3 linked regions of the Arabidopsis thaliana genome follow. The protein of the gene in region 3 interacts with the protein of the main gene of each other region in a pairwise test. Each region holds a gene or a part of one and is shown on either strand. Other genes may lie near its edges. The genes, in order: AT3G57800, AT3G22560 and WRKY38.

The links.
Region 1: the proteins of WRKY38 (region 3) and AT3G57800 interact in a two-hybrid assay, tested with the Arabidopsis thaliana proteins (one large-scale study listed by BioGRID).
Region 2: the proteins of WRKY38 (region 3) and AT3G22560 interact in a two-hybrid assay, tested with the Arabidopsis thaliana proteins (one large-scale study listed by BioGRID).

The regions. Positions count from the first base shown.
Region 1 is NC_003074.8:21,409,531-21,413,289, forward strand, and holds the start of AT3G57800 (basic helix-loop-helix (bHLH) DNA-binding superfamily protein), read right to left. Parts: upstream 2,083-3,759; 5' UTR 1,792-2,082; coding exon 1,246-1,791; intron 1,174-1,245; coding exon 1,060-1,173; intron 969-1,059; coding exon 903-968; intron 407-902; coding exon 311-406; intron 41-310; coding exon 1-40.
Region 2 is NC_003074.8:7,998,091-8,001,677, reverse strand, and holds AT3G22560 (Acyl-CoA N-acyltransferases (NAT) superfamily protein), read left to right. Parts: upstream 1-2,125; 5' UTR 2,126-2,235; coding exon 2,236-2,763; 3' UTR 2,764-3,053; downstream 3,054-3,587. Other genes in the region: AT3G22570 (Bifunctional inhibitor/lipid-transfer protein/seed storage 2S albumin superfamily protein), read left to right, coding at 517-838, 1,589-1,602; AT3G22565 (uncharacterized protein), read right to left, coding at 1,576-1,761.
Region 3 is NC_003076.8:7,495,157-7,498,915, forward strand, and holds WRKY38 (WRKY DNA-binding protein 38), read right to left. Parts: upstream 1,835-3,759; 5' UTR 1,552-1,834; coding exon 1,286-1,551; intron 1,143-1,285; coding exon 1,020-1,142; intron 933-1,019; coding exon 452-932; 3' UTR 299-451; downstream 1-298. UniProt on the Arabidopsis thaliana protein: Transcription factor. Interacts specifically with the W box (5'-(T)TGAC[CT]-3'), a frequently occurring elicitor-responsive cis-acting element.

The sequences.
Region 1 (3,759 bases), on a different chromosome or scaffold from region 3:
GGGGGCTAAAGGAACAATCAATCAAGTCCTCACAGCTCACCTATAGAATCCAAATTTTAAACAAACACTGATGTTCCATATCATCATCTCTATCACACCAATAATTGCTGCTAACTTCTAACATCAGGGATGATTAATTAGCTGTCTGGGGGAGTGTCACATCATGTTTCCAACTAATTAGGTATGTGGGACTCAAAGCATATCAATTTTTGTAAAGGATCATTTGCTTTAATCGTCCTTCTAAGAGTCATTTTCTATTTTTCCTTGATAGATACCGAACTTGTTAGAGACGATACTACCCCTTCCTCACCTTCCATAGAAAGATTGCAACTTTTTTCCCACTTATCATCAAAAGATGGACCCCAAAACACACTTTGATCTTGATCTTTCCACCAAAATCTGTCCCCTAAACCCAAAACCTTAATGGCATATTACAGCTAGCACACTTCCTAAGGTCATTCTCGTCATTTATAGACTAATCTTCAAGCTCAACGAACACACTTATGGAAAAAGAATTCGATAAAGCAAGGTCCTATCACTTCCGTGTGACTGAGTTAACCTTAAAGCTAAGTGTGTACCCGTGAGATATTTCTCCCCACACGAAATAAAAAAATAAAGTTGAGATCTCTAAAGGCATTACTACACAATTACCCAACTGGCTACTTTGGCACACCAGGAACCACTTTTCTTAATAAAAAAGCAATTAAGCAATCCACTTTTTAGGAAGAAAAAAAAAAGTAGGTGTGAAGGATTAAGACCCTTAACAAAAAGACTAGATCATCTAATAATAAATTCTTACTTTTGGAGTGAATCAATTAGAGAAATATAATGTCGTTAATCACAAATGAAGACCTAATGATTGATTAACAAATTGATTACACGTCTATATCTAAGAGACAAACCTTATCACAGCCTGGGACCAGTTCCTGTAACAGCTTCATTCGTGCATTTATCTTCTCTCTTCTTGCCTATAATCCAAAAATTAGTGATCAATTAGCGAATTAATCAACTGATTAATACCAAAAAAAAGAAAAATTAGTGAAGGCAGATGCAAGTTACTCGTTCTGCTAAGCTATGGCTATCGGTTGCTTGACCACGACGAGCTCTAACGTGAACATATGGCAGCTTCTCGTTCTCTTCAGAGCTTTTGTTCTTCTTCGTCGAGCTTTTACCCTATAAAAAATCAATCTGATGAAACGAAGGATCAAATGTAAAAAAGTAAAAACATTTGTCTCTCACTCTAACCTTCTTTTCGAAATCTTTCCTCTTCCCATTTCGATTGTTCTGGTTAGGGCAAGGGATTTGATTCTCAATCGCTGAATCAGAAATCAACCGCTGAGATGAATCGGTCTCAGCAGGCTCCGTCTTGACTCTGTCGAGATTAGCACTTGAATTGGAAGGTACAGAGCTCGTCGGAGTCTCCCCGGAGATATTTCCGTTTTGTTGCTCAGTGGCAATCACCGAGAAACGAGCTGCTCGCTCCATGAGAACTGAGTTAGAAGGAAAAGCCAATGTCCCACCGAAAGAGTGAAGCGGCGGAGGAATCTCTCCACCGATCCCTGTCACTGCCGCTTGTTGAGAAGACGAAGAATCAGTGAAATGGAGAAGCTCCACTGCTTGTGTAGGTGGAAGCTCAAGCAAAGCCGTGAACGAACCGCCGGGGTTCTCGGGAGGTAAAGTCGTCACTAGTTGCCGAAATTCGTCACCGAGATGTAGCGATTCAAGGCCTATTGGTTCCCGGCACGGTCCAACACCGCCGGATCTAGCTCCAAATCCTCCAGTCAGATCCATAAACGGAAACTCACTGGAAATCTTCGAAAACAATAACACCAATAATCGAAACCAAATTCAGCAATTTGTGTAATCAAATCTCACGACAACAAAACCCTAATTGAGCCTCCAAAGAGAGCGAGAGAGAGACTTGAGTAGAAGACTTTTGTCAGTAAGCGAGTAAAATGCGGCGAAAAATAGAAAGGAGAGAAGGTGGGCAACAATGGCGGTCTGAAGAAATCCCTCCTTCTTCTATAGCTCAGAGAACTTGGCGAAGAAGGAATAGTTATTCTCTCTTCTTCTTCGTCTTCTTTCTCAAATGTGTGTGGAAGAAAAGCTTTTACACCAGAAGAAGAGTAGGACGAAAGCAACGTTAGCAGTGGAGTGCGTCTGTTAAATAAAGGCCACTGTTAGACAAAAGAAAGAGAAAACCAATTTTGGTTATTGTAGGTACGGTACGGTTCTTTTGTTATATATTTTGCTGGATCCCAATGGATATTACTTGGGCCTTTTGGGCTTTAACCGGTGACTTTTTATCTCTGATTATAAACTTTTTTTATCACTCCTTAATTTTGTAATTAGTAAATTTTTGAAGTATTTTGATACTATAATATAAAAATGATTTGAATAGGGCGTACCAGAAAACGGCACATATTTATTTAATCGAATCGGTAGATTAGATTTATTCTTCAGCAGGACCAGCCTGCTGTCTCTGACCACTTTTCTTTTTTTCTCGGTATAATAATTGGATTTTCGTATAGTATTATTATCAGTAGTTAATGCCATAAATGGTGTTACATCAGGTTTTCTGACTTTCCACGGACTCCGATTCCGGTGTCAAATTATTTTGTTGACCTGTAAATAACCAAGAACCAAAAACACTTTTTAATATGGAAAAATAATTGAGCTCAAAACACCATTTTAGTAATTATCTCAGCCGTTGGATGAAATCTACCAAGCGTAATATTAATTTTTTAAAAATATTTTATTTTTTTTATTTTTTAAAAATATTCAAAATTCATCAAGTATTAAAAACTTTAGAGTATAAAAGGCAAAAATAAAATAAAAATTGAGACGTACTAATAATATTAATTCAAAATATCTTATAAATTTATTAAAAGGAAAAAAAAAAACAATTAATGTTACTTCTTTAAAAGGGTGTTTTGGGGATAGAGAGGAAAATTTGAGGACAAAGATGAACAGATGGGTCCAGTGGAATAACCTGTTTCACACAATGGGCCGAACAGGAAATCCACTTATGCTCTAATAATCTGAGCCCAAATCCCAATTTCCATTTCATTGCAACAAATCATCGTTGCTTGATTATTTTGATTAGCCAATTTCTTCTTCATGTAAGTAAATCTCAAAACTGAAATTTAGTAAAAAGGTGTAGAAGTGGAATATAAATGTGCTAAAATATCGGTTTCACTTTCAGCGATTGGTGATGTAAGGTTTGGTGTAGTAGTAAAGTCTCAATCAAAGAGAGGAAAGGTACAATCTTTTTTTGGCATTTCCAATTTGGCAACGTTACTTACTCTCCCAACGTCCATTACTTCTTTGGTGTCTCAGATATTGATGTGGCCAATTCTTTAACCAACCTAATTCCTACGTACATATGTGTTACTCTTTCACATATATACACTTTATTCTAAATATAAAGATTTTGAAGCTATACGGCTCTTTTCTGTTTTTATTCAATTAGATGTCAAAATGAGTATGAAACATGCAAAGTCTTTATCAATAAGAAACATTCTAATTATGCAAAGTCTTTGCCATTATAAACGCAGTTCAATTTTAGATGATTTATCTTTATAAAATTTGTTCCCGAGCACAGTCTCGAACTCATATGAGACTAAAGTTTTTAATATTCACACATAAAACCTTTATAAAAAATTAAAGAGATATATTTTCTTTTATTGCTGAGAAAGCTGTGAGGATTATCTTCACAATACTTACGGCATCTCCAACACATCTCTATTTTTGTCTCTA
Region 2 (3,587 bases), on a different chromosome or scaffold from region 3:
AACATGAGGAGATGATAATACGTTTTTTTATTCATCAGCAGCATTCATTTTGTCAAACAAAAAAATAAATAATACAAAACACGTTATATTATACAATAATCATCTCATGTTCCTTAATCAAACCAAATAACATACAAAATAACATTGCGAAACATATTGTATTGTTATATAGAATGATGCTGATGAATATAAAAAATGTATTACAAGACGTGGTTAAGATGATGTCCACTTTGTAGCCAAAACCAAACAAAATTGACATTAAAAATTATAGTAATACGAACTGTATTGTATTTAAATTATTATTTAATAATGGCTACAAGTTGGCTGTTGGTTAAGTCAAGGAAAAATAACAGCTAATTGTTCATATTATAAAACAAAATTGAACACAAAACACACAGTATTATATTATATATAGTACCAATTAGCTAGCAAGACTCTGAAAAACCAAACGAATCTGAAAAGATCATAACAAAACTCAAAAGATTCTTCTCCAACCACGTATTTCATCAAGGAAACATGAAGATAGGAGTGGTTTTAGTGTTGCTTACAGTTTTCGTGGTTGTGATGTCTTCTACAAGCGTCTCTGCTCAGTCGGACGAGGACGAGTGCTTGAAAGAGACAGGGCAGATGCAGTTGAATTGTTTCCCCTACCTAACTGATAATCGTATCCATACTCCTAGTTTCGCGTGTTGTTCTGAGGTGTATACAGTAGGCAAGACATATGTTGACTGCTTTTGTCAATTCATCAACAATGGAGGCCCTAGCTTCGGTATCGTTGTTTCCCAAAAACTTCTTGATCTGCCAGAGCTTTGTGGCGTTTATGGTGCCTGTGGCAACGGTAAGAATTTCAAAAACACTAGTTTATGAATAAACACCAATCTTCACTCTTCGCGAATTTATGTTATGTCCATGAAATTGATTGAAAAATCTGTGTACCAGTTGGTGATGGCGTTGTCCGTAACCGAAAGTATTTGAATTGATAGAGTCTTTGTTTCAGTTGAGTCAATAACGAAAGACATGGTCTTCCTTTCCTTGTGTTAAATTAAGGAGCCAGCTTTGCCACTTTCCCATTCCTGGTTTGTAGGAGTTACAACTCCATCTCTTTGTACATTCTATTTAAGATTATTAAAAAGCCACAAAAAGGCAATCTTAATTGTCTAAAGAAAAGCCACAAATCCAAATCTGAGACATGGGAAGGAGATGGTAAACTAAATGTTTCGGGTTCAAACTCAAGAGCCATAGATATAGTATGCACAAAACAGATATCCAAAAGGAAACAAATAACTTATGTCAACTTTATAAAATCCTATATTATAAAAAGAATTTTATCATTTTATGGGACAAAGCAATAATCTATCGTTATGAAACATTGAGACCTAATGTGAGATAAGCTCTTGACGTTAGTAGATATAAGAAGCACAAAATTTCAACGAATGCATGCAAAATGAAAAGTAATGTGTTGTGTTTTTAATGATTTACCTCCTTGTTTTCATTTAACTTGATGCATTAACATACCATTTAGACTTGTTTCGGCTACCTGACTAAATATAGCTCATACCTTTGTTGACTGTTTTGTCAATTCCTCAAGAGTGGAGGTTCTAATCTCGGTATCATCAATGTTAACCAAACACAAGTTCTTCGTCTGCCAGTAATTTGTTTTGGTACGGTGACACTTTTCTTGTCATTCAGTGTAATAACGGTATGAAGAAAGATCATCCTAGTACCGTAGTACGTAGTCTTTATGTTATCTGATGCATCCATAATATATCGTGAATTTATGTTACAGGAAATTGATTGAAAAATGTACCAGTAAGGTGATGGAGTTGCAGGAGATGCATAACGGGTTTAGGAGGACATCTAACCGAGCGTGTGTCACAATATATTGTGTTGAACGAGTCTTTGTTTCAGTTGTGTCAATAATGTGGTCTTCATTGTGTTAAGGAGCCAGCTTTCTCACTTTCTCATTCCTGGTATATAGGAGTTACACTCCATCCCTTTCTACATTTGAAAAAGCCTATAAGAGGTAATCAAAATTCAAAAGCGTTACTCTCTGTTATAATTTGGATTTAAGTTCTAAATCTGAGACCCATCATTAACCGATAAGAATAGGCCCAAATCATTAATGGGCCTTTCAATCCTAATAGAATCATCACTTCCAAATATTTACATTTGTTGCATTTTTTGTGTATATTATTAGATTATAGTAAGAGATTTATAAAACTAACAAAATTTTACATGATCATGGAATCACCAAGAATCTTCCTCCGGCCGTTCAATCTCTCCGATGCAGAAGACGTCTTTAAATGGGCCGGTGACGATGACGTCACACGTTACCTCCGTTGGGACTCCGTTAACTCCTTAGAAGAAGCTAAACAACACATCTTAAACAAGGCTATACCACACCCATGGCGCCGTTCCATCTCTCTCCTCCAAGACGGTCATTCGATTGGTTACGTATCCGTCAAGCCAGACTCCGGTGATGGTCGGTGCCGAGCCGACCTCGCATACGCTGTCGCTAAAGAGTTTTGGGGGCGGGGGATAGCCACAGCGGCGGTGAGGATGGCGGTTGAACAAGCTTTGGAGGATTTTCCGGAGGTGGTGAGGCTACAAGCGGTGGTGGAGGTGGAGAACAAAGCGTCCCAAAGGGTTTTGGAGAAAGCTGGATTTCGAAAAGAGGGTTTACTTGAGAAGTATGGTTTTAGCAAAGGAGTCATCAGAGACATGTTTCTCTATAGTTACGTTAAAGATGATTGTTTTGTGTGATAGTTAACGGTAAAAATAATGGAGAAAGTAACTAAATAATATCCGGTTTTTACCGTAATCTGAAATGTTACAATATCAAACGTACGTTAGGTTTGAAGAGATAAAGATGATTACGGCAACAAATGATGGTTGTCTACATGTTCTTGTCATGTCATAATTAAGTTTAAGTCGTGTCGTGTGTCTACGGTGACTCAACCACATATCTTTCTTTCTCTGAATTCTGTCTTGTTCGTGAAAATAATCTCTATAGTAGTAATCTTAACGTCATGAATTGGATAATGATATTGACGAAAATTTATATATGAATGTGAAATGTTAATGGCAAATATATCCATTCTTTTACAAGCTACGGTAATTAGTTTATTTTTTGATTTAAGATACTCCCGTTATTTCAAAAAAAAAAAAAAAAAAAAGAGAGAGAGAAAAAATTCTTCTTTGTCGCATAGATTTCACAAGTTGAAATTGAACGGTCAGATTTTTGAAAAATCAGAACTTGTAAACCACTAAAACAAGAATACTTATGTGTTAGGAATAGATAATAATAGTGGCATGGCGCCAGCAATTACAGAACAGAAAATATTCGGCACTATATAAGTCGGATGAATCATACACTATACATGAAAACAATTAATATTTGGAACATAAAAGTCGGTCCATATATTTAATTATTCAGGAAGTAATGCGAAAAAAAAGTGTGTGAATGAAAGTCTTTGAGAAAGTATCAAGTAGCACGCATGCATCTTGAACAGAAGTCATGCATAGTGTCGTCAAAATCAAATTGATATATGTTTTACAATTCTTGTCCTATCAAATCTTAAATGTGT
Region 3 (3,759 bases):
TTTGTAAATAAACGAGGTCAAATTAAATGTTGGGTTTGGTTTATAAACATATTTAGATTTTACAATTAAACGAGGTTAAATGTGAGTTTGGGATTAGAAAGAATGGTTAGAATTTATATTTTACAATTAAACAAGGTTAAAATGTCGGTTTTGAGCTTTTAAAGATGAATGAGAGTTTAGATTTTATAATTAAACGAGATTATAGATCGATTTAGGTTTACACAAAAAGTGGTTGAAATTTATATTTTATAATCAAATGAATTTTTAATTTATTTATTAGATGATAGAGTTTTATTGGCCGGAAATAAACTCTTAGGGGTGAATATAAATATTGTTCTCGGATTATCTAATCAATAACATAAATACTTAAATAGTCACAATTCTCAAATATATACAATCTCATAAAAAGGAAAACATTATTAAATAGTTTTAGCTGAAAAATCTAGTGCAATCAAAAGTAAAACTGATCATAACGATCCCACGAGTCTGGGTTGTCAAATAACAAATCAGAATTAAAGTCAGCACTTTCACTGCCAGATGACGATGAAGGAGGATAAGAGCCTGATGGTGATGATAGATATTCTTCTATAACATCTTGACAATCTTGGTCATTACTGGTTATCTCACGGTACTGATCTATAGCTTGCTCTTTGATGATATCTTCTTCATGCTTAACCGATAAGGAGAAACCGTTCGAGCGGCTTTCCTTCTCCTGATCCTGATCTTTTCCGAATCGGATCATTTGGGTACTTTTAAAGTCATCTAGGGGATCTTGTCCGGCAATAAAAATGGCATCTAGATTATGTTCGGTTTTGCAAGTGTGGTGGCCAAAGTAAGTGGTTCGGTAAACCGGAGGATTGTCTTTGATCTTTTGTTCATGCTTTCTTGCTTCGCAGTTATGATCTTTGTTGTAAGAACATCTATAGTAACTCCTGTTACCATCATCATACACCAATTAGTATGAGTGATCGGGATAGAAATAATTATGATGAAATATGATTAGCTATACTATTTCTTACCTTTGGTGATTAGATTTTTTTATACTCTTTTGACCATATTTCCTCCAAAGATACCCGTCGTAGTAAATCGGATCCGGTGAATCGTCCCTCCAATTCTCACTTGAATTTGTACTATCAATCTTTCTGCAAACATGAGTATTATCAAAATATTAGCATTAAAATCAACATATACTCCTAAGAAAAAAAATACTTATATTAAGAATTGTGGTTTCATTTGGAAAAACAAAAACAAACTCAAAAAAGAAAACAAACTCATAAGTGTATACCTTTTCTTGGAGGGGCTCCCCTGTGGAGGAGGAGAAGAATCCCTAGAAGATAAATCAGAAAACTGATCATCTTCGGTTTCTGGTTTAGCAGATAAGATTGAAATGGCATTGGAAAAACTTTCAACGATCGATTTAGCAAGATCATAACTTGAAAGCGGTCCACCATCAGCCATTGGATGGTTGAGCCGCCTCTTCAACCGCATGGCGCAGCTATGGCCATAACGGATAGCTTGCACCGCCTTTTCGTGTGGGGAGTTCATTTCCATAGAGTATAGTGAACTTGTGTGTGTGTGTATGTGTTTCTTGTTTGTTTTCTTTTTCTCAAGTCTCTTCTCTGTGCTATAAACTTTTGAACGGATAGGGAGATCAGAATTTATAGGACTAGTCGTACATACACGTTCCCAAATGACTTTGCCAATTTGGGTTTACCAAATATAATTTACATACACTAGGTTATATTTTAAGAAGCCAATGATAAATTATAATTTCGATATAGGACATGTGCTCTGCTAGACTTATATGCGTGAATCTAAATAAAGAGAGACAAAAAGATAGATTAGGTGTTGACATTAGCATATGATCTGTCATGATGTATAGGAAACAGAGTTTATTTTATATACCTTTCCCAGTACGCGGCTCACTTAATTATATACAATCTGTTTTTAATTGTTTCAGAATTTATCTGTTTCTCTTATTACACTAATCTACGCGGTTCGCTTAATAATTAAAGATTAAAAATTAAAAACTACTCCTTTCAGAACACTAAAAGGTTTCAAGATAGGAGGAATCTAATAGAAAACTGTGTTCTACAAAGTCAGATATATTAGAGAGAGATATGAGCTATGATAAACCCCAAATTAGCAATGATTTTAAAATTTTCTTTTGTAATCTTTCCATTTCAATATGTGTCGCAATTTTTTTTATTTTTTTTTTGAAAATATATAGCAGATGAAATTTAAGAATAAATTTGTTTGCTTAATTTTGTTGATTGTATATCGTTAAATATTTTTTATTTAATATTTTGATAGGTGGTTTTAATTATAATTTATACGGTAACTAATAATATAGAGTTTTGAAAATAATATATTTTACGTTCATATGACAAAAAAAAACAAATGTATGTAATAGATTGGATGTTCACAAAAAAAAAAAGTATAACATATTTTACACGTCCATCGCAATGTTTACCTCATCAAAGATGAAACGTGTACAAATAATGTTTTTTTGCTCAATATAATAAGCTTCGAACACATATGATATGATCAATTCATTTTTTTGTAATGAAAATACTCCACTAGTCGTGGATATCTTTAATGGTAAAATTATCTAATTTTTTGGTGAGTTTTGGTTCAGATTTTAAATAAAAATGTAAGTATTTAGACCAGACAAAAGATAATTATTAGGTAATAGAATAACATTAACAAGTAAGATCTAGACAATTTTTCAACGCTTAAAGAGAGAAATAATTGCGATGTAGCTGGCGAGTGGCGACTAATGCACCAATGAAAACGGCATTAGTTTCGTCGGACACTCGACGTCAGCCCCATGACGTAGTTTTTGTTGAAGGGGCTGATTCAGCAGATTGACGTCAGAACGAAGCAGCAATGTTGATTATATTATATACTAACAACAACTAGTCAACTATGCCGTGATGTGAGATTCATTCGTTGGCTACTCGGTCCATATTTTAATTTAATCTAAAATTTTAAGAATTTATAATTAATAAGCTTTGCAAAAGATAACTGGTAATCTTGAATCCTTTTTCTTTAGGTAAACTTGAATCTTATATGAAAGAAAAATTAGTAATTACATTTTAAGCGGATAAAATGATATAATATACGTACAAAAGCTTGTTTTGAATATATAGTATAATCTGAAAGCTAACCAATCCAAGTTATACAATCATATTTTAAAACTAATAGATGGTCAATCCAAAACAATTTATCCTTATCAGATTGTATACATCGATGGTATTTTCAGGCCATGAATTAACACCATTCATGAAACTATACAACAAATTACAAAGTTTGTAAAGAATGTTAAGTTCTATCTACCCATCAATTTAACAACCCTATCTTCTTCTGCGGGTGGTTAATGTAAATTGATAGATATCAACACATAAGAGATATATATATATATATATATATATATATATATATATATAAACTTTCGCACGTGACTTTGATCTGATCTGTGAAACGTTGCCCACATGTATTTTGTTCTTGTTATTAGCAAATTGTTAAATATTGTATAGGTATTAGTACTATATTGAGTAAGGGGTCACATATGTACAAGTCAAGCAAAGCTATGGGTCAAGTCACATTATTTTATGGTGCGAAAGGAAAGTGAATGTGAACATGACTTACATGACAATAATGGTGATACATTTTTTTAATAATTTTATTTATTAGCTAATTAAACCAAGTAGTTGGAACGTAGCTTCCATGTCTTCTTTAATCTGACGACGACTTCAA